3 linked regions of the Macaca fascicularis genome follow. The main gene of each other region encodes a partner of the protein of the gene in region 3 in a complex. Links are inferred from orthologs where the notes say so. Each region holds a gene or a part of one and is shown on either strand. Other genes may lie near its edges.

Region 1 (7,468 bases), on a different chromosome or scaffold from region 3:
GACAGCCAGCAACAGTGCCAGAGCTGCAGAACGCAGCTCTGCTTTGCGGGAGGAGGTACAGAGCCTCCGGGAGGAGGCCGAGAAACAGCGGGTGGCTTCAGAGAACCTGCGGCAGGAGCTGACCTCACAGGCTGAGCGTGCGGAGGAGCTGGGCCAAGAATTGAAGGCGTGGCAGGAGAAGTTCTTCCAGAAAGAGCAGGCCCTCTCCACCCTGCAGCTCGAGCACACCAGCACACAGGCCCTGGTGAGTGAGCTGCTGCCAGCTAAGCACCTCTGCCAGCAGCTGCAGGCCGAGCAGGCTGCTGCCGAGAAACGCCACCGTGAGGAGCTGGAGCAGAGCAAGCAGGCAGCTGGGGGGCTGCGGGCAGAGCTGCTGAGGGCCCAGCGGGAGCTTGGGGAGCTGATTCCTCTGCGGCAGAAGGTGGCAGAGCAGGAGCGAACAGCTCAGCAGCTGCGGGCAGAGAAGGCCAGCTACGCAGAGCAGCTGAGCATGCTGAAGAAGGCGCATGGCCTGCTGGCAGAGGAGAACCGGGGGCTGGGTGAGCGGGCTAACCTTGGCCGGCAGTTTCTGGAAGTGGAGTTGGACCAGGCCCGGGAGAAGTATGTCCAAGAGTTGGCAGCTGTACGTGCTGATGCTGAGACTCGTCTGGCTGAGGTGCAGCGGGAAGCACAGAGCACTGCCCGGGAGCTGGAGGTGATGACTGCCAAGTATGAGGGTGCCAAGGTCAAGGTCCTGGAGGAGAGGCAGCGGTTCCAGGAAGAGAAGCAGAAACTCACTGCCCAGGTAAGGTACTCAGCCCAACCACCCTCCCAACGATCAGGAGCTGAGAGCATGGGGACATCGATCCTGTGTTCCAGGGCCTCTGGCTCCTACACTGGAGTGTCTTGCCTTTCCTCATTCACTGGGTGGCAGAAAAGGAGAGGTGGCTGATGGAGTTCAAGTCTGTTGCCCCTGTCATCCTAAAGAAAATGTCAGTGGCCTCCCCTCTCCTGAAGGCTCTGTCACTGGAGAGTCAAGCTGTGATGACCACCAGCCCATACAGAGGTGCACCTGCACTGGATGCCTCAGGAGCCACTGGGGACTAGAATCAGTCTAACTGGCATTTTTAAACTTACTGTCAATCTAGCGCCTTAGGGGAAAGTATCAGAGCCTCAGTGAGGTCAGCCTGGCAGCAGGGCTGGTGCCTCTTTGGCCTCATCTCACTCTGTCTCCATTGCTCCTCCCCCATGTACAGGTGGAGCAGCTAGAGGTATTTCAGAGAGAGCAAACTAAACAGGTAATGCCTGGGGTCCTCGCTAAATGCTGGCTGCTTAAACGGTGACCAGTTTCGGTGCATGAGCCCGGCTGCAGCTTGCCTCCGCCAGCTCCTGTTGTGAACTGTTTGTGAAGGGGGCAGGGTCAAGCCATGGAATCCAGGCCCAGGCTTCCCAGGAGTGCGGTGTGCTGGGCTCTCTCGGGCTTCATCCCACCCATCCCAGGTCGGCCCCTCCACCCTTCTGCACCTTCTCTCATCTGCCTGTCAGGGACAAGGGGTAGCACTGGCTTCATCTTTCCCACACCTGAACCAACGACAGACACAATCTTTGGGATTCTAAAACTTCCCAAGTACTGTGTCTAGTTAAGGATACCCAACTAAGAGGAACAGCAGAATTACCTATGGGCCTCGTTTAACATTGTGTCCCTTTTTACCAGAGTACAGCTTTATGGAAGCCTTGAAGGTGATATGCGAGGCAGCCCCCACAGGTTAGGGAGAACTGTGGGCTCAGGACACTTGCCCATCACTTTCTGGGGCTCTAACCCCAAGCACAGCATAGAGATGTCTGTAGCAGGAAGGCTGAGGGTGAAGTAGCAGGAGGGGTCTATACCAGATGGGGGCAGGGGAGTGGGGGGTCACATGGTCTGGCTGCCTCTTTCTCACGGGAATCTCTGTGTTGCCTGAGACATCGAGGCTATAGAGCTAGTGTTAGAGCACCCTTTCCCCGTCACTCTCCTACCCAGCCACCCCAGGACTGCCGAAAAATTGGGCCCTCCTCTTCCTCTAAGGAGCCTGTGATAATGGGGGAGAATCAAAGTGAATAGCAAACAGTTAGCAATGGAGCCCTTGCCTCTCCCCTGTGCTGCCTGGTCATGCTTGAACTCCCAGAATACTTGAAGCAGCCAGGGGTGCATGGGGCTGTTATGTTCTTTCTTTTCCCCTACTCCCTGTGCTCCTCTTTGTGGGAGTTGGGTGGGCTTTGGAGTACATGTGCTACACCTGCTCTTGTCTTCCAGCAATCTGTTCCCCCAATGCTAACCACAGCAGCCATGCTGCTAGCACCAGCCCTAACAGCCTGTGGATGTTGGGAAGAGGTCTGAGCATCTGTGGGCTTGGGCTTTGGCAGTTTCTGGGAGGGAGGCATGGCAATTCATTGAGTATGTCGGCTAGAATTACAGACTAGGTCCTGGGAAGGTTGCGGCTGCAGAGTGGTGGCAGCAGCAGGGTGGTGGTGAAGTGTCAGCTCTGCAGAGTCAATTCCGATTCTGGAGGTGACAGGGGTTGGGCAGGCCTCTTTCTCTGCAGGCTCAGGGTAGAGGCAAGTATGGACAGGTGGCCCTGGCAACATTTATGTGTTAGATTGCCTCACTCAGGCCCTGCCAAGCAGCCTGGGCAGCAGGCTGTTCCCTAATTGGAGGCCAGAGAAAGGGCCTGAGTTTATTCTAGGAATACTGGGGATCCTGGTCTGGGCCACCCCATGATGGGTAGACATCTGGGATGAACATCCAGGGGAAGTCCTCCTGAGTCTTCTGTCCTCCTCTTCCCTCCCCAGGTGGAAGAACTGAGGAAGAAACTGGCTGACTCTGACCAAGCCAGCAAAGTGCAGCAGCAGAAGCTGAAGGTGGGGCAGCTGGGGGAACGGGTCTGGCCTCTGGACAGGGGAGGAAAGCTGTTCTCTAAGCTCTCGGGCCGTGGGGGTGTGGGGGCAGAGGAGGGGCACCCTGTGTTCCAGGCAGCCCTCCTAGGAAGCCTGTGGCTTAGAAGCCCCTGCGTGTGTCTTCTGGGAGCTCTCAAGAGACAACCAGGGTGGTTCCCATCTCTCAACTGTCTCCACTACAGCAGCTACTAGTCATGTGTGGTTATTGAAATTTATTAAAGTAAATCCAGTTCTTCAATCACACTAGCTACATTGTGTCCCTGCTCAGTAGCTACATGTGGTTAGTGGCTGCTGCATTGGACAGCACAGATACAGAACTTTCCACCGTTGCATAAAGTTCTGTTGAACCATGTAAGTCCAGATAGTCTGGGCAGGGAAAGAACGAGTGTCACCAGTGTTGAATATTACAATGCAGTTTAATAACATTCTTAATGATTCCAACTGTGTCACCTTCTTTGGTTTAATACTTGCTTTCTGCAGTTCTAGGCTGCACAGCCTTTAGTCAGGGGCAAAGGAATTGGACATCAGTGGTATTGGGACTCACTAAAGCCCTGGTGGGTCCTAGGAGTTGGTGGGAGCTCAGAGCTTCATTTCATACCATGGTGCCACAGCATGTCTTGATTGCAATAAACAAATGTTTATTCTGCTCCTTGTGGGGCCTGTCCTGTGTTAGGAGAGGCAAAGGTGGGATGTTTCTGTACAGTATCTACCGCAGAGTACTTGCTGGCCTTGCAGATGGACAGAGAATCAGGCCCTGTTCTTAAGGAGTTATAGTCTGGACAGGAGGCAGTGTGGGCATCATAAATAAGCCCCCACGGGCTTTTGGAGTTTAGTGGACCAAGTCTTACTCTGCCATTTAGTCATTGTTGCTATGGTCAATTTGCTTAAATCTTTGAACTCAGTTTCCTCCTCTGAAAAGGGGATGAAGTGACTTCTCAGAGTGGCTTTGAGGAGAAACAAGTTCCCCTGTCCTCAGAGAGCTCACATGCCAAGTGCCTCACTCCAGGCTCCGCACCTGGGTGTTCCTCGAGGATCGGTTCCCTTCCTCCTAGGGGAGATTGTGTGTGCATGCAAAGAGGGTGAGACAGTTTGTGTCCTATCTCAAAGAAGGCAAAGATAGGGCAGGAGCTGGTCAGGGAAAGGCCACTATGGATGTGGACTGAAGGGCATGTGGACTTCAGGTTCAGTAGGCTGTAGTCGGGTGGAGTGTATCTGGGGTGGTGTGGTTTTCTTCCTCTTCCTAAGTGCAGGAGTCTGAAGCACCTCTTGAGCCCCAGTGGCTGATGCAGATGAGTGGACTTGGGTAGAGGGGCCAGACCAGCTTTCCTGAGTGGACTTTCTTCTCAGGCTGTCCAGGCTCAGGGCGGTGAGAGCCAGCAGGAGGCCCAGCGCCTCCAGGCCCGGCTGAATGAACTGCAAGCCCAGTTGAGCCAGAAGGAGCAGGCAGCTGAGCACTATAAGCTGCAGGTAAGGAGCCCAGCCCCAGCCCATGCTACCTTCTTCCTGCCCTCCAGCCTCTGCCCCACCCACCCATCCTCTCTGCCCACAGATGGAGAAAGCCAAAACTCATTATGATGCCAAGAAGCAGCAGAACCAAGAGCTGCAGGAGCAGCTGCAGAGCCTGGAGCACCTGCAGAAGGAAAACAAAGAGCTGCGAGCTGAAGCCGAACGGCTGGGCCATGAGCTACAGCAGGCTGGGCTGAAGACCAAGGAGGCTGAACAGACATGCCGCCACCTTACTGCCCAGGTGCGCAGCCTGGAGGCACAGGTAAGAATTTGGCTGGCAGACTCACCTCACCCCTATCCCACTGGACCCCTGTGCCCTCTCCTCCTAGGCCACTGATGCCTTAGGTTTTTCTTCACTCTCCCCCTGGCCCTCTCCTTCTCAGGTTGCCCACGCAGACCAGCAGCTTCGAGACCTGGGCAAATTCCAGGTGGCAACTGATGCTTTAAAGAGCCGTGAGCCCCAGGCTAAGCCCCAGCTGGACTTGAGTATTGACAGCCTGGATCTGAGCTGCGAGGAGGGGACCCCACTCAGTATCACTAGGTCAGGAGGCACTCTTCCTCCCTATGTCTGTTGTTTATGGAGTACCCGCTGTTTATCAGGCTGTATCCTGGTGAGATAAATAAGATGTGATCCAAATTTATTCTTAGAGAAGAATAAAGAAAAACAGGTATTATACCAGATGTCTGTTTAGGGCACAGTTGGAATAAAAAGCAAGCGGTCAAGAAAGGCTTCATGGAAGCTATCGCTCCTGCTGAGTCTTGAAAGCATCCATAGGTGTGTGTGCCAGGTTGACAGAGAAGAGCAGTGTGAACAGAGGCTGTGAAAGAGCCTGACTAGGCTGAGATGCAAGGCCAGGAAGGCCCAAGATCCTAGAGGGCCATCTGGACTCCCCGTTGGAGACCGGCTATTAAGACTTGATCCTAAAGGCATTGAGGAAACCTTGGTGGCTATAATTGAAAGGTTTAAGGGAAAAAAAAAAAAGGAACCTTGGAAGAATTTGAAACTGAAGAGTACATGGTTAATTTCCATCTTAAAAAGATGATTCTAATAGCCAATATAGAAGTTAAGACTGGAAATACATATTGTTTTTATTAAACACTTACATTGTACTTATTTTGTGCTAGACATAAAGCACTCATAACAATTATACCTGATTTATCCCCCAACAACCCTCTGAGGTAGGTTTATTCTGTCTCCTTTAACAGATGAATCTGGGGCATAGAGGGGTAGTCATTTGCCCAAGGTCCCCCAGTGGTAGAGCTGGGGTTTGACCCTGTGCAGCCTGGCCTGAGTCCTTGCTTGTCACCACTCATCTGCCTCTGTGAGTGCCATGATGAGTCTAGGTGAGAGGAGATGAGACAAACCAGGAAAAGGACATAAGCATGGAGAGGGTATGGTTAGGAGAGCTGTTGAGGAAGCTTGGTGATTGGGCTTCCCAAGCAGGACAACATAGAATTATGCCCATGTTCATGGTTTGGGGGCCTGAGTGGCAGGTGCTCGTATTCACTGAAATGGGAGATGAAGGAGGAAGAACAGAGAAGTGGGCTTAGATTGGGACGTGTTTGCTGTGGAGCAGCCGTGGGCATCTGGTGAGGATGGGACATCTGGGTCTGGGCATTGCCACTATGAGGAGGTATTAGGAGAAGCCAGGGGAGTGGACTGAAGGGAAGGCCCAGGTCAAGGGCTTTCCTTGGTACCTCTGAAAATTCAGAGACATGGGTTGCTTGACCTCATCTGCTTATAGTATGGAAAATGGTCACTTTGGAAAAGGGCTGGACAAAATGCCTTCTAGCCCAAAAGACTGTACCTCAGCAGGTTTCCTTTCCATAGCAAGCTGCCTCGTACCCAGCCAGACGGCACCAGCGTCCCTGGAGAACCAGCCTCACCTATCTCCCAGCGCCTGCCCCCCAAGGTAGAATCCCTGGAGAGTCTCTACTTCACTCCCATCCCTGCTCGGAGTCAGGCCCCCCTGGAGAGCAGCCTGGACTCCCTGGGAGATGTCTTCCTGGACTCAGGTCGTAAGACCCGCTCTGCTCGTCGGCGCACCACACAGATCATCAACATCACCATGACCAAGGTCAGGCTGTCGGGACAGGGGCTGCAGGGCAGCAATTCCCACTTCCTCTCAAGGGCGTCTTTGCATTGGGCACTCAGGAGCAGGCAGGGATGAGCAGCCAGTCCATGTTACAGTGGGAAAGCTGAGGTCTTAAAAAGGGCAGTGACTTGGTTAGGGGCACTTCTGAAGAAAAGGGCAGGGCTGGGATTAGATCCCTGCCTCCTGACTAAGGCTAGTGTTCTCTCCATGTGTAGCACTGAGCCTGTGCAGGGTGAAGGGAGAGAACATGGTGAAGCTGCAGCCCATCCAGTGCCTCCCAGCATGCCCCATGCAGCTGAGAGGCATTGTTGCTGCCCAGTGGACTGCCTGCCAGGCTGTGGGCCCTTGCCTTTGTTTCCACATCTTGAAGGGGAGGTTTGGGAGGAGGGGAGAGGGGCCCCGGTACAGCAGGGAGGACCTGTGTGTGCAGGGTGTCCCCTGCTACCAAGAAGTTGGGGAAGTTGTAGAAAATGGTAAGGGCCCTGGAAGCTTGGACTGAGGGACAGCAGAGGCTGTGGGATGAGCCTGACTAGTCAGGAGACAGCTCTGATACTTCCTAGCAGTGTGATTTGGGGCTAGTCACTTCATTTCTTTGCACTTCACCTCTAAAATGGGCCAATAAACACTCTGCATTCCCTCCCTCAAAGCATTATGAATAGACTCCATGAAAAAAATGCATAGAAAAGAGTCTTGACAACATCAGCACCACCTTGTGAGGGCTTCTGTCAACAAGGCCCATTTCTTGCAGACACACGTTAAGGGCCTTTGCAAAGCTGTTGGGAATGCATGGATGTGCCGTGGGATCTGAGGGCTTTGGGAGGGAATGGGAGGCTTCTGTATAGTGCCAGGGCCCACCCCATTGCAACAGATTCACTCTCTCTTCCAGAAGCTAGATGTGGAAGAGCCAGACAGCGCCAACTCATCCTTCTATAGCACGCGGTCTGCTCCGGCTT
Region 2 (7,468 bases), on a different chromosome or scaffold from region 3:
CATCATACACACAAAGTAAATAAAAGTTCATGTATGGCTTCGTAAAGGTAGATTATGACGTGACTTCCATATTTATTTGTTTAAAAGCCTCTTGAGAGAACGTGTCAGTGTGCTTACGAGAGCGGCCATGGTGGTTGAGTGTCGCACCGAGAATCCAACATTAGGGTCCCCAGGGTTCTTTCCAGTGGCTGCTTCGGCAGCTTTCAGTAGACAAATGTAATTTATGACCACTTCATCGATCTTCCCTACAATTTCCTGCCGCTGTGTTTCTGAGTTCACGACTTTAACTAATCGCATGCAAGCTTCTGTTAGGCAACAGAGCACTTGAAAGCTGGAAGTCATAGCTAGGAGCATCTCCTCCGGGCTTTTCTCAGCCATCGCCATTTTCCTACAGGCACTTCCCAACTGTCTGGACTCAATGGACAACAGTTGCTTGTACTGAGAAAGTGTAAGGTCGTATGCTTCAGGGCGTGACTCCTCTTTCTTCTCCTTTGTTGCCCTGACGAGACAGAGCAGCTCATTGGCATCATTTTGGGCTGCAAGGAACCCATCAGGCATTGCATATGTGCTCTCCTTTAGGGCATTTATTCTTGCAATCCGGGCATCAAAAGCCAGGTTGCTGAAGTCCAAGTCATCTGGGCCTCGCAGGTCTTCTGCCCAGACCTTCAGCACTGACCCTCTGGATAGCTCCCCTCCTTGCTTCTGAATTGCCACAGCCAGACATGGGCTGCTTGGTTCTGGCGTGGCTTGAGTCATCTGTGGTCTATAGAGGCAAGCGACCTGGACGGTGGCCTCTCCTCTCTCCTCCTCTTCCTCACCATCTTCATCCTGCCCTCGGTTCAGGAAGCAATAGCTGAAGGGTCCCCGGCATCTCCAATTGCTGCCCTCCAGCTTCCGCAAGGGTAATGTCCTATACAGCTTTGAGTCTTTATGAGCCACTGGGGACCTTTTGTGAAACCTCCCCTCGGAGCTCAAGTGCATCGAGCTTTGGGAAAAACTTTTGGTGAGCTTCCTCCCCAGGGGGAGTTCTGCTCGCCTTTCAGAACTGGCCTCCTGTGCTTCTGTGATGCCTGGACACTTTAAGCTGACTGCACCCTTGGTTCTCTCTCGGAAGGTCTCCAAATCGACAGATCCGGAGAGGACACTGCTGCTATGTCTCAGAGCCTTCTGGCTGGGGGGTGTCCTGAGGCTTCCCCCTCTCAGATCCGGTGGCCGCCAGCTCACAGCCTCTCCATATGCCTGATTTGCTTGGGAGAAATCATTAGGGTCTTGATTTGGAATTGGCACCTTTGATTCCGAGTGAATGTTTGATGGTAGCAGGATGGGATCAGCTTCAGGATGTTGAGACCAAGCTGAAGGCATGCCTCCTCGTCTCTCCTTCCCAGGCTCTGTCAAAGCTACACTAGGGGTAGTAGAAAAACAGAGAGAATCATTAAGCATCTCCTGGGAGGCCATTTTTACTACATCTCTACATGATGTCTGTCATTTCTCAAGGATGTAGTCTGGAAGGGCTGCCGTATGCTAAGGTCACCCTGCTTTCCAAAGGCTGCATCTTGATATCTCATAACAAATTTCCATTTTAATGAATATCAAGAAAATACTGGAATCTGTTATTTCTGGAACTGCTGATTCATTTGAAATTGTCTAGAAATCCCAAACATTTTCAGGGATTTCATGAATTGCCTTGCTACCAATATCTATCTATCAAGCTTAGACACAGAAAATAACTATGTATAGATTATTCAAATATATTGAAGATACTAAGTTTCATTTCAAGGGAATTAAGTTAAACCTGGCATCAGTTTCTTTCTTTCTTTTCTTTTCCTTACTTTCTTTCTTTTTCTTTCTTTCCTTTCTTTCTTTTAAAGAAGTGGCCTAATTTAATTAATGCAAATTAAATAAGTGAATCTTTTTAAGAGGACAGCATGAGGTTTGCCTGGTACAAAGTCTGAAGTTGAGACCTTGGGCCAGTTGCTCAACATTTTTTTTTTGTTTGTTTAAGAAAAGCTGTCATGTGAAGCAAATAATCCCCATCTCACAGAATATTTGTGAGAAGCAAGAGGTAACTCAGGTGAAAGTTCTTTATAAATCATGAAAGATTAAACAGTGTGACTTAGTTAGTTTAGAGGTAAATATGCAGTTGGGTGATGAGTTAGGTAATATTCACAGATAACTTTTCCAAGGCAGGTAAAGCCAGTGGTGGGTTTTGAGAAAGTAGAAAATCTTAAAAGAACAGGAATAGAAAATGACCAATATAAGATCTCACTAACTTCTATTGACCTGTATGAAAAAGACACTATTGATGACATAATTTGAAATATGAAAATATGAGAGAGTATCTGCTTTTGCCATATAATGACCAGCCAAGTGGATCAGTGAGGGGAATGCATACCATTGAGTGGTGGAGTAGTGAAGGTGGGATACAGAAGGTGGATGTGTTCTTGTTTCTATGTGTGTTTACACTTTATTATTTTGGGGAAAATAAAGCAGCTCATCAGACATAACCTCAAAATCTTCCTGACACTGGGGTATGTCAGAGTAGGGAGGAGTCAGTAAGATTGCTGAAAGGCAAATAATCTCTCCAAACCCCTCCAATCTCCCTGATACCCTGCTCTCTTATTCTTCTTTGTCCCTCAATAATGAAATGGCAGAATTAGAAATCAGATGTCTTGGGAAGAAAATCAAACTGGTATGTGACTCTAAGCAATACTATCATATAACTAAAAGTCACACTGGGCATTGCTAAACATCTGCATTTAGAATTTAGGAAAAAAACATATTGCTCCATCAAATTCTGAAAGCAAACACAGAGCAAGATTATAAAGCGCAAATGCCATTTTCACCTTTGTAATCTTTAGTATTTATTAAATATTAGGGGATCAATGATTGGTACTTTACTGTTCTGTGGCCTTTTAAATTCTACCTTTTACTTTTCTTCCAGACTTTACGTTTGTAAGTTTGTTGTAAATATGGTTTACATGCTCCTGGCATGTCATACAAAGTGCTAAATCCATCATTGCTGTACCTGTGGTTTCCTTAATCTTGGGGAGCCGATGGCATCCATCTCTCAATGTGCCAAACAGGGGTTCGGTGTTAATGGCTGTGTGCAGAGCAGGCACTGTCATTCGTGGACACATCCCTTCTGTCTGTGGGTGCAGTTCCTTAAAGGTGGCTCCGTGGTTGGGAAGCCCAGGGGCTCTCTCCTCTGAAGGAATGTAATTCACGCCTTTCCCAGAAGCGTCAGGAATCAAGTGCTTCCCTAGGGAGGGGCAGAGCGGCGACTCCACGGGTGTGGCGCAGGCACTGCCGCTGCTGCCCGTGCCACAGCCTGCATCCACTGAAGAGCCTTGGGAGCTCTGCAGAGAAAAATGGCCCTCGCTTTGCAGCGATGACATCCGCTTGGCCAAGTGGTAGTCACAAAGGTGGGCCACACTCTCATCAGCCTCAGGAAGCTTGGAAGGATGGTCGCAGGTGGACGAGTCAGCGTCCTCTGGGTTATCTAAGTCTTTGGCTGAAGATGCACAGGTCACGTCAGTTAAGAAGTGGTCCCCTTGACCAAGTCCTGAGCCATCACTGGTTTCTCCATCAGGAGCTCCTTCTTCCTTCCCTTCAGCCTCCCTTGCCCCAAGACCAGAAGCTCTTGGAAAGGTTTTCCCCGTTGCTGCTTCTAATCCACTTTTTTCAGCCATCCCGCTTTCAGTGGCCACATACCATCTTTGGCTGTCCTTGCGAAAGGCAGTTCTCTCCAGGTTAAAAGTGCTCAGGTGTTGACTGTCCCGTGAAGACACAGTACCAAATTTACCACTGGCGTCCTCCTCCATCTCTGCCGTTTTGGTCCCCTGCTGTTTTTTTCCTATTGTGTTCCCATTAGGGGGTGCCTTCCCCTCACCATCGGCCAGCTTGCTTTTCCTTTTGCTAGTGCAGGAGTATGCCACCGACCCCATGTGCAGTTTGCTGAAATAGTCAGTGACTGACTTAGTCTCCATGGTTTCAGGCTCCATCTCCATGTGGTCTGAGTGAAGTAACTGCTTGGAAGGCACAACTTTGGGCGGGAGGTCAGTTGCTGGCCTAGCAGCCAGGGTGTGCGAGGACTTTGGATGCAAGCCCCCAGTGGGGGTCTTGGAGGCCGGGAACTCAGTCTGCTCTTCTGCAAGGGGGTGGTAGCCTTCGTGAGTGGCCAAGAACATGCGGGAGAGGTTTTCTGACTGTTTTTGTGCTGTGGCCAGTTCAGAACTCTCAGTCATTTCAGAAGAGTTAGTTTCATTGCCCGAGTCTGACGAAGACTCAGGACTATAAGCCCGCAAGATGGCTACACCTGCATGCCGTAAAAAACAAGAACTGATTAATGGATGCATCAGAGGCACTTGGAGACATGTAAGAAAATGGGACCCGTTATTACTAAAACAAAATACCAAGTTTTTCCCTTTTCAGTAAGGACTCTGAGTTTATTGCAGTTTTTCCAGAAATGGGGGTGGGGGTGGGGGAGATGTGCCTTATGTTTTTAAAAAAGTAACAACAAAAGAAATCACATACACACAAAAAAACCTATGATGGCAGTTTCAGCACGTTTATGAAATGGGACATTTGTGAAATGGAGAACACCATGTAACAGAACTCCAAGGGCAAATGGCTTGGAAGGATGGAATGATATGGTTATCAGTGAATGAATGTAACAATTGTGAAAGAACCTGAATTGTCACTGGTCTGCTGTTCTTCTGACACGGATAGAGTCTCTAGAGCTCCCAGCGTGGAGACAACGGCATTATCCAGTCCCTTCTCACACTTGCCTTCGGCGCTGGTGGGCACAGCGTCAATGAGGGACACGGGGATCTCATCATTTTGCAGGCTGCCGCCTTTCTCCTTGTCCTCGGGGAAGGAAGCTGCCTGGCTCTGAGAGTCCTCTTCATCTGAACTGTCTCTAAAGCCAGGTGGGGGTGCGGCAATGGCCATGTTCAAGGAACGCAACAGGAAGTCATCCTCATTGTCATCACCTTCTGGAGGGGGCAGGGATGTGAGGTCAATGATGTCATCGCTTGACCCAGACAGGTTGAGGATGGCCGGCTGGTTCATCTCCCCCACCACGAGGTCCTCCTCACAGCTCACCTCGTCCTCATCCTCTGCGTCATCAGTGTTTTCTGCATAACAGATGTCATGCAAGAGGGGCTCCTCGATCCCCTCTGCAGCCTGGAAGCTCTTCACATCGCCTATGTTTGCATAAACAGAATTTTCCACAAACTGGATGCCCTCTGCCTCTGGAGTGAGATCCAGGCCCTTCATGTCACTGGCACTGCCGATGTAGAGATTTCTCTGCTTCTCCAGCATTTCAGGACTCTCATCTAGTAGTGTTTCATAGCCGAGGGTTGGGGGACTAATACCATCATCCAAGGCAAAGTCTCCAAAAATAAAGGACACTTTAGCTCCTCTCGGAGATTCCTGTGCTTTCTTCAGAGTTTCTGGTCCTGAGAGGGTCAATAGGGACTGCTGAGCGAGACTTCTATAGTCTGCCTCACAGGGGGCCTCCCCGGGCTGGCTCAGCTGCTGGTTAAGTGCATCTGAACTATAGGTGTTGTCTATGTACAAGTGCCGGTGCTCTTTTGGACATATGGTGCTGTCTGTGATCTCCACCGTCTTCTGCTTTGAATCTATGTATGTTATCTGGGCTTCTTGTTCCCCTTCGCCAATAAAGGTGGTCATTTGGGGTATACAGTTCCAATCTGGGCCAAGGAGGTTATGCTTCCCCTTGTTTTCAGTTCCTAAAGAGAAAGAATCATGCAAAGACACATTACTGTACTGTCTGGTTTTGGGTGGGGCAGGGGTGGGGGGGGGCTCGTCTCTGTTTTTTAACTTAATGGCTTGTAGCATCACTTGTGTAAATACAGTTTTTCAACTACCCAAATATAGTACTTGTTGATTTAGGCTTCAGGTGTAAGAATTCCTTGGGTTAGGAGAACCAACCTTAACAAAATTGATACTGCATAAATTGTAATTGCTATGTGATAAAATGTAATACCATCCGGGGGTAGGGAAGTATAGCTTAATTCCATCTGACCCTTGGTTCTATTATTAAAAGGCTTCATTCATATCTACGAATGTAAATATACAACATGCCTTTTACCCTTAAAGGTGAGATTTCAATAGGCCATTATTCCAGAACATTAATTGTTCTTTTTTTGTAAGGTGAGATCTAATATTCCCTACTTCATGAAGGAAGATATTGAATGTTTTCCTCATTGAGTTCAGAGATAGTCAAGGATTGTCAGAGTTTTGCCATATGGGAAATTAAAATAAATATTGTAATGATAGTACAAAACTTCTATCTTCAGTCTTTTGATATCCTAGTAGATGTTAAAATATTCATGTATAAATGTCAGCATGCATGCCTCTGTGTGTGTGTGTGTGTGTGTGTGTGTGTATAAAATGCATAAGGTGGAGTGGTCACAGGTAAGGTACTTTTCTCTGTAATTTCTAAGCATAATTAATATTTAGATTAATTTCAATTTTTGTTTGTATCACGGGAACTCCTGAAAATTTGTTTCATGTTCCTCATGGATTAAAATTACAAAACCCCAATTTAAATACTATTAGTTTGTTTGCTCTTCAAGCATCTTTCAATCTGGAATTTTGATGTGGAGATTTGTTCTGATATTTAACAAGACAGAGAACTGGGTCATTCTGTTGATATTGCCTTATAGATTCCAGAGGCAACATTTTGAGAAAATTTTAGGGCCATACTATTCTCCCATCCATTCCCTCAAATTGTCCCCAGCACAAGTTTGGATAACTGACATCAGATGTGCAAGACATATGGGAAAAAAGTACAGTTTTACCAAAGAGGTTTTTGCTCCCGGCAAATCATGCAATGGACTTAATGCTGAACAGTGTTCATGGCCATTTTTAATAAATTCATGTATTTTCATGAACAATAAGAGATATAATTTTGAAGACGTTGAATTATACACTAGCCATATTTGCATCTTACCTTACAATAAATAAACCTCGTGGGGGGTCAGCATTATTTTATTAACAACAACAATTTAGATTATGACTGGGTGTGCACGTTGGGGGAAGTGTGTGTGTGAGTGTGGATTGTTGCAGGAGGAAGAGTAGTTCAGCAAAGTTGCATTGTAATGCAGGTTTAGGGCTTGGCAAATATTTTCTGTAAAGGGAGGCCCAGATAGTAAATATTTTGGTTTTGTGGGCCAACCATTCATTTGAGCAACTACTCAATTTAGCTGTTTTAATATGAAAGGAGCCATAGATGCTACATAAACAAATGGGTATATGAGTTGAATGGTGGCCCCCAAAAGATATGTCCACTCTGTGAACGTGACCTTATTTGGAAAAAAGTGTCTTGCAATGTCAAGGATCTTCAGATGCGATTATCCTTAATTATCTGCATGGGCCCTAAATTCAATGGCAGAGAGAGATTTGGGCCACACAGAGAAGAGGGGAAGGCCACGTGAAGACA
Region 3 (7,468 bases):
TGAGAGTCTAATACCTGATGAGATGTCACTGTCTCCAATCACACCCAGATGGGACCATCTAGTTTCAGGAAAACAAGCTCAGGGCTCCCACTGATTCTACATTATGGTGAATGTGTAGTAACAAAAGGAATAAAGTGTACAATAAATGTAATGCGCTTGAATCATCCCAAAACCATCCCCTGCCACCCATCCATGGAAAAATTGTCTTCCACAAAACCGGCCCCTGGTGCCAAAAAGGTTGGAGACTGCCATATTAGAATATAAATATAAGTATCATATCAAATTCACAGTTTCATGAGTACTGCTTTGGATGAAGCTCCATTTTTTTTCAATGATAAAGATAGTGTGCCAATTTAAAGGGAATTTGCCAAATTACAGAAATAATTAAACGAATAGGTAGTTCATACATATGGCAGAAATCATGAAGATGCTGAAGAAACACAATGGCAATTTTGGTGAGGGGCACCCTCTAAAATTTAGGATTTGAATCCGAAGTATCAGTGTTTTTTTCTCCCAGATACGTTTACAGTAACTTCATCCTTCTTTTTCAATTCAGGGACAGACTTCCAAACTTAGTATTTCTGCAAATTTTTGAATCATTATTTTCTAACTTAGTTTCCTGACACTTAGTTCTCTTGTGAAAATGTGCCTTATAGATCAAGAATATTTTGTTCCTCTATTTTTCTGTGGTATACGTGGTCATGTGGTGGTAAGAAGAGGAAGGAGACTGAGTGTGTGTTGTGTGTGTATGAGAGAGAGCGAGGGATGGATGGATGGATGGATGGATGGATGGATGGATGGATGGATGGATGGTCAGAGGGGTTGATGAACAAGTGACTAGAGTACTTGGATAACTTGGATACCTGGGTAGAGAACAGTATTAATAATTGTAGGGCCTCACTTTCCCACATACTCATCTCCTCAGACTCTAAGGAAGTCCAGAGGTCTGTTACAACTCAGAATTGTTTGGGAAATACTGCTATAGGTTCTTTCACTAGTAACATGGATTGCTCTGGGCCAATTAAAATGAGCTCCACATACAGATATTTAGCTATCCTGACCTCTCTGAGCAGGCTCAGAGAAATTTGAGTAGGCAAATTACCTCTTGCTACAAATAACTGTTTCACTGTTTCATCAGGAATGTATATAGATTTCAGTTATAGAGGCAGCTGCCCTGAACAAGAGTAGCCATATAGTCTACATTTAAATTATATTACTGGAAGTTAAAAATACTGTGATGCAGCTGTAATGTTATGTTTAAATGTCTGTCCTGTATAATTTTGTAGAATGGAAGCTTCTTGCCTAGAGCTGGCCTTGGAAGGGGAACGTCTATGTAAATCAGGAGACTGCCGCGCTGGTGTGTCATTCTTTGAAGCTGCAGTTCAAGTTGGAACTGAAGACCTAAAAACACTTAGTGCTATTTACAGCCAGCTGGGCAATGCTTATTTCTATTTGCATGATTATGCCAAAGCATTAGAATATCACCATCATGATTTAACTCTTGCAAGGTAATTAAGCTTTTAAATATTCTTCCTTCTGAAATTAGCTATTACATTAAAAAATATTTCTATTCAATTAACAAAAACTAACTTAATACATTTAATGAGTTCTACTTCAGTAGCATCACTTTTTAAAACTAACCTTTAGGTTGAACACAGTTTAATTGAATGAATAGTAGTGAAATGACCCTAGAGTTTAATTAAATGGATGAAAACTAATTACATTTGAATCCAGAAATGTAAGTTTTAAATATTTATTTAAAGTAGGTTTCAAAGCCGATGGGTTTTTCTTACCTTAAGCATGTCAGTTTGTCCTCTTGGAAAACTGTACTCTGGCTGCTTTATATTTTAACACCATTTGTATTTCAATACCATTTTTTTTTTTGTTTTTTGCTTTTTTCAGGACTATTGGAGACCAGTTGGGGGAAGCGAAAGCTAGTGGTAATCTGGGAAACACCTTAAAAGTTCTTGGGAATTTTGATGAAGCCATAGTTTGTTGTCAGCGACACCTAGATATTTCCAGAGAGCTTAATGACAAGGTAATACTGCAGCATTAGATGGTAGGTCTAATATTTTCATTCAGATGGCTTTGCATTTTAATACTATTTAATTATTCTATAGTTTATTTAAAAATTAATACCAAAAAAGAAAACATTGATAGACTAATAGAAGTAAAAGAGAAAAAAAAATTTAATGGAGAAAAAGAAGGAAATAGAGGTCTTTCTTTTATAAGTAATTATTTGATTGGTTCTGTATGGAGAGCCAATATAAAAATTTCTTTCCCTTGTCCATAATACTAAGGATATTACAAATATATATGATAAATCTGACCTCTGTTTTCAAAATGTAAACTTTGCTGATGTCTTCATTTAGGTGGGAGAAGCAAGAGCACTTTACAATCTTGGGAATGTGTATCATGCCAAAGGGAAAAGTTTTGGTTACCCTGGTCCCCAGGATGATGTAGGAGAATTTCCAGAAGAAGTGAGAGATGCTCTGCAGGCAGCCGTGGATTTTTATGAGTGAGTAGGGGCTGATATGGGCAATCATGTAGGCCCATCTAAGCTGTGGATCTGCTATACGTTCTTTATTCAGTAGTAAAGTTTTTAAGTTTGGCAAAGGTTTTAAAGCTATGAACTAGCAAAATCATCAATTCAGTTGCTTAAATGTTATAGTGTTATTAGTAGTAATCTGCAGCTTTCATTTAAATTGCAGACCAGTGCCACTTAGTGGCAAAAACAAGAAATATCAATGGTTGGGCTGTTATTTAGAGTAATTTAGTCTTTTACCAATAGAATTTCATACAACTACTTAACTATAGGGGTTCCAAGATTAACTCTGTGCTTGACCCTGGGCAGAAACCTATCTGAATAGTTTAATAAAGTGTTCCCAGCTATTTCCTATAATTGCTCTTCATCATTGATGTCATCCTTAAAATGTTGCACATTATGGCTGTAAGCTTCCTTACATTTTTTTCTGATAAAAAGAATTAGCTATGTAAATCACATAAATAAAATTGTTTTGCAAACTTATTTTTTCGTCACTTTTTGCTATCCCTTAGGGAAAATCTATCATTAGTGACTGCTTTGGGTGACCGAGCAGCACAAGGACGTGCCTTTGGAAATCTTGGGAACACACATTACCTCCTTGGCAATTTCAGGGATGCAGTTATAGCTCATGAGCAGGTACAGTGGAAGGCCTTGGAGCCAGACCATTTCCTCCATCAAAGTTCTGAACAGTGATTAGATCATTCTTCCATTTTATTTTAGCTACATCTAATTAAAATTTTCTGTTTCAGCGTCTCCTGATTGCAAAAGAATTTGGAGATAAAGCGGCTGAAAGAAGAGCATATAGTAACCTTGGAAACGCATATATATTTCTTGGTGAATTTGAAACTGCCTCAGACTACTACAAGTTAGTCTAATATTTCTGTAGATAAATGTAAAATGAATAGTTATTCAATCCCATTAATTTATAGGCTTTAGGTTTAAAATCTGATTGCAGCAGGACTTTTGGCATCTAAGCCTCAATTTCCTTATCTGTAACAGAATATATCAATACATCATTTTGGGGAATACTGTGAAGAGTGAATGAAATAATATATTAAACACTTAGCACAGTGCCTGGTACACAGCGCTCAATAAATATTATTGTACCTAAGATTTAATAGCAGCAGTATGACCCCTTTATAGTACTGGTTTTTATCTTTAAAAGTAATTGTTTTTAAATGAAGTTTTCAGCCTTTAATATCTTTTAAACCTACTTAGCATATGTGGTGTATATTGTGTATATGCTTTATTTCACTCAATTATGGGTTAGAAGAGATGCCAAAAGAAAGCCTGGTAACAAAAATATTTATAGTCTCTATCAGTGATCACTGATTTTTTTGCTCTACCTTCCCACCTTCTTACTGAGCAGTTCTCCCTTTACCCTCTTTCTGCCCATATTTGACTGTGTCACTGTAAGCTGCGTCCCCATTCACTTACCTGAGGAGTTTGCAATCCCAGCTCCTTCTGTGGCAGGATGTCTCTTATCAGTAGATGTGAGACATAGATGATAGAAAGTTTAGACAGCTTCAAGTTGCCTGGTCTGTGCTTTCTACATTGAGTTTTCCCTAGTTAGTGGGGATTGAAGGCCCTTATAGATTTTGGGTAGAAGCCAGTTTGACTAAACTGAAGACACAGTGATTGATTTGTATTTTGTTAAAGAATCCAATATGAGACAGTTCTGGATAATTTTGTCATCTTCATAAAAAGGTAAAATTGTTTCAGGCCTATCTAAAAAAAATTGAATAGCATTCCACTTTGCTTTAAACATTAACTAATGGTTAATATTTGTTGGTTGGTTAGGTCAGTTAGATATGAAATAGCCTCCCAAATAAAACATATTACTATGTACTATATGAAGGAGTATATATTTTGATTTTAAATATAAAAGTTTCTTATGTTTTAAAGCCAAGGGATATAGAGAAGTCTTAATTATTAAATGGCATACCTGTGTTACATACTGAAAGGTTCTATTATAAAATGGATAGTGGCTATTTGACTAAAGAAGCATGAATATAAAGTAATGAAACTTACTTTTTTTCTCCCTATAAGCAGGCTGGAACTCAGAACTTTATATATATTCCAAGTTGTCGGTTAGAAATATTTTTAGAACTCTTCTTTAGATTTTTTTTTTTTTTTTTTTTTTTTTAAATACAGAGTTTTGAGTTTTGCTCTTGTTGCCCAGGCTGGAGTGCAATGGCACAATCTTGGTGCACTGAAACCTCTACCTCCTGGGTTCAAGCGATTCTCCTGCCTCAGCTTCCTGAGCAGCTGGAATTACAGGCGTCTGCCACCATACCCAGCTAATTTTTGTATTTTTAGTAGAGATGGGGTTTCACCATGTTGGCCAGGCTAGTCTTGAACTCCTGACCTCAAGTGATACGCCCACCTCGGCCTCCCAAAGTGCTGGGATTACAGGTGTGAACCACACCCAGCCCAGAATTGTTATCAGGGCCAAACAAGAAGGCTGACATAACATTGTAGATCCATATCCTTCCAGATACAAAGCAGTAGTTTGGTAAACCTATGTTAGTAATTGAATTTGGTTCCAGAAAGATTTCTGATCATTTACAAATCAACTGTACCATCAAAGAATAATGGTATGCCAGAAAGCATTATGTCACAGGATCTGAGAGCAATTCCAAAAGTCTTTCAAAAATATTTGAAAAGACAGGCAGCATTAGAATAATTAGGTAGCCTCCCAAGGCGACAGATTTGAATGTATCATCATTAAATATGTAATTTTAGATTTGTTTAAGAAAAAGCTATCACATTACCGTATAGTAATTTGTCATATAGTTATAAATGATATGAAGTAATTACACTATTTGGCAGAAATGGTGGGAGAGCCATTTAAATTACTGAATCCAAAAGCATCTGTAGGTTTAAGCACTGATAATAATAACATATTAACATTTATACAGCATCTACTATGCACAAGATGCTATTCTAAGCACTTTTTATCTATACATATTAATTTAATCCTCACAAAAATCCTTTGAGGTATTTCTCCCATTTTATATATGGAGAGACTGGTATACATACTTTGCCCTTAGCTTAGTAATTGGCAAAGTTGGGATTTAAACCCAGTCTAGCTCCAAGATCTATACTCTTAACTGCTATGCTAGCTTCTCACTGACAATACCACAGTTAGAATGGGTAATGTTTGGATGCAGCATTCAGTATTTTTCATGAGTTGATGACTAATGCCCTATACATAAGAATTTTACCTAAGTGGTGACTAATAGCCTACACATAAGAATTTTACCTAAATATTTTAAATTTTGACAATGCAAAGGTGACGGTACGATTGAAAACAGATGTCATGTGGAAAAAAGCCAATACTAAAGGGAAAGTTTTTTTTTAATGTTAAAGATAGTATGTTAACCTCTAGAAACTCTTGATTTCATGTTTCAATACTCCTTTACTTTGGTGAATTGTTAGGATTCTCAAATTTATTCTGTCTTGAATCTGCTTTCTGTGTTTCAAAAAGGCCTTTTCATTTTGTCTAAAAGTAATGAAGAAAGTATGGGATATGAATATTAGGCTCTCAGAGATTTAAAGGCAGCAGAAAGCAGCAGAGAGGAAAAATTAGAGTTTTATTTTGTGATCCTTAAAGCCCAAACTGAGAATGATCATTATGTAAGAATTAATTTCTTCTTGTAGGAAGACACTACTGTTGGCTCGACAGCTTAAAGACCGAGCTGTAGAAGCACAGTCTTGTTACAGTCTTGGAAATACATATACTTTGCTTCAAGACTATGAAAAGGCCATTGATTATCATCTGAAGCACTTAGCAATTGCTCAAGAGCTGAATGATAGGTATGTTTTACATCTTTTGACCGTAACTAAGGTAAAATATAGATGCATTATTGAATCCCTAGAGTTTTTCCTTTGTTTCTTTTCCTGTGTTTACCTTAAAATCCCTTTTAAGGAATTTTCTTTTTCAGTGATATCCTCTGTATATCGTTGTATGAAGGGCTAGTCTGTGATAGAGGATTAGTCTGTGATAGAGGACTGTCTGCAATAGAGAATTAGTCTGTGATAGAGGATTAGTCTGTGATAGAGGATTAGTCTGGTTCCATATGCCCTTGACCCAAGATCAGTGACTAGGTCCCAAACTCAGTTACCTCTTCAGAAGTCTTCCTGGAGAAACCCCATCTTTACAAAAAGTACAAAAATTAGCCAGGCGTGGTGGGGCACGCCTGTAATCCCAGCTACTTGGGAGGCTGAGGCAGGAGAATCGCTTGAACCCAGGAGGTGGAGGTTGCAGTGAGCCAAGATCACGCCACTGTACTCCAGCCTGGCGACAGAGTGAGACTGTATCTCAAAAAAAAAGTCTTCCTAACTACGTAAGTGTAATCCCGTATCTACTAAAAATGCAAAAATTAGCTGCGTGTGGGGAGGGGGCGTGCCTGTAATCCCAGCTACTCAGGAGGCTGAGGCAGGAAGATCACTTGAACCCAGGAGGTGGACGTTGCAGTGATCTGAGATCACACCACTGTACTCCAGCCTGGCAACAGAGCGAGACTGCATCTCAAAAAAAAAAAAAAAAAGTCTTCCTAACTATGTAAGTGTGGGAATTGTGGTAAACTTAAGAGATAATGCCCAGTGTGAAGGGGGCAACTGCTACCCAACTCCAAATAATTGTTGCCAGGCAGGAATGAAAATCCATTGTGTCCACATCTTCCTGTTTTTTAAAGAAAAGTTGGAAGTGCTGAGTTTTATATGAAATCTGCTTTTTAAATGTTAGTGGCTAATTCAGTTGTTTTGTTTTACTGTATTAAAAAAACAGTATTTGCCAGCATTTAGTCTGTGATATTTGCTTTGGAAAATCGATTTTTTTTTTACCTCAGTATGAAAGAGAACTTTTCGATGCAGTTGTTCAAAATGAAGTATGCTACCTCAAGAGGTAGTGAGTTCTCT

Evidence for each region. Proteins that work in one complex are often made in the same cells at the same time.
Region 1: the proteins of GPSM2 (region 3) and NUMA1 are in contact, whole or in part, in a crystal structure (PDB 6HC2), measured with the Homo sapiens proteins. The link is inferred for Macaca fascicularis from reciprocal best matches to the Homo sapiens genes GPSM2 and NUMA1. Residues at the interface, in NP_001307967.1 of Homo sapiens: Ala28, Leu29, Glu32, Cys35, Lys36, Phe47, Lys59, Thr60, Ser62, Ala63, Ile64, Ser66, Gln67, Asn70, Ala71, Phe73, Asn110, Lys113, Tyr146, His153, Lys157, Pro164, Gln165, Arg203, Gly206, Asn207, Asn210, Tyr213, Leu214, Arg228; in NP_006176.2 of Homo sapiens: Ser1901, Phe1902, Tyr1903, Met1904, Gly1905, Thr1906, Cys1907, Gln1908, Asp1909, Glu1910, Pro1911, Glu1912, Leu1914, Asp1916, Trp1917, Asn1918, Arg1919, Ile1920, Ala1921, Leu1923.
Region 2: the proteins of GPSM2 (region 3) and FRMPD4 are in contact, whole or in part, in a crystal structure (PDB 4WND), measured with the Homo sapiens proteins. The link is inferred for Macaca fascicularis from reciprocal best matches to the Homo sapiens genes GPSM2 and FRMPD4. Residues at the interface, in NP_001307967.1 of Homo sapiens: Leu25, Ala28, Leu29, Glu32, Asp57, Lys59, Thr60, Ser62, Ala63, Ile64, Ser66, Gln67, Asn70, Phe73, Tyr74, His85, Asp88, Ala92, Gly100, Lys103, Asn107, Asn110, Thr111, Lys113, His128, Arg143, Tyr146, Asn147, Asn150, His153; in NP_055543.2 of Homo sapiens: Gln988, Leu989, Leu990, His991, Ser992, His994, Met995, Glu996, Met997, Glu998, Pro999, Glu1000, Thr1001, Met1002, Glu1003, Thr1004, Lys1005, Ser1006, Val1007, Thr1008, Asp1009, Tyr1010, Phe1011, Ser1012.

The regions. Positions count from the first base shown.
Region 1 is NC_088388.1:70,765,489-70,772,956, reverse strand, and holds part of NUMA1 (nuclear mitotic apparatus protein 1), read left to right. Parts: coding exon 1-784; intron 785-1,235; coding exon 1,236-1,277; intron 1,278-2,808; coding exon 2,809-2,877; intron 2,878-4,260; coding exon 4,261-4,380; intron 4,381-4,462; coding exon 4,463-4,681; intron 4,682-4,802; coding exon 4,803-4,960; intron 4,961-6,250; coding exon 6,251-6,497; intron 6,498-7,401; coding exon 7,402-7,468. UniProt on the Homo sapiens protein: Microtubule (MT)-binding protein that plays a role in the formation and maintenance of the spindle poles and the alignement and the segregation of chromosomes during mitotic cell division.
Region 2 is NC_088395.1:12,489,024-12,496,491, reverse strand, and holds part of FRMPD4 (FERM and PDZ domain-containing protein 4), read right to left. Parts: intron 5,754-7,468; coding exon 4,689-5,753; intron 4,316-4,688; coding exon 3,026-4,315; intron 1,403-3,025; coding exon of another isoform or gene 1,398-1,402; coding exon 73-1,397; 3' UTR 1-72. UniProt on the Homo sapiens protein: Positive regulator of dendritic spine morphogenesis and density. Required for the maintenance of excitatory synaptic transmission. Binds phosphatidylinositol 4,5-bisphosphate.
Region 3 is NC_088375.1:125,551,610-125,559,077, reverse strand, and holds part of GPSM2 (G-protein-signaling modulator 2), read left to right. Parts: intron 1-1,286; coding exon 1,287-1,508; intron 1,509-1,902; coding exon 1,903-2,038; intron 2,039-2,372; coding exon 2,373-2,518; intron 2,519-3,057; coding exon 3,058-3,181; intron 3,182-3,294; coding exon 3,295-3,410; intron 3,411-6,208; coding exon 6,209-6,364; intron 6,365-7,468. UniProt on the Homo sapiens protein: Plays an important role in mitotic spindle pole organization via its interaction with NUMA1. Required for cortical dynein-dynactin complex recruitment during metaphase. Plays a role in metaphase spindle orientation.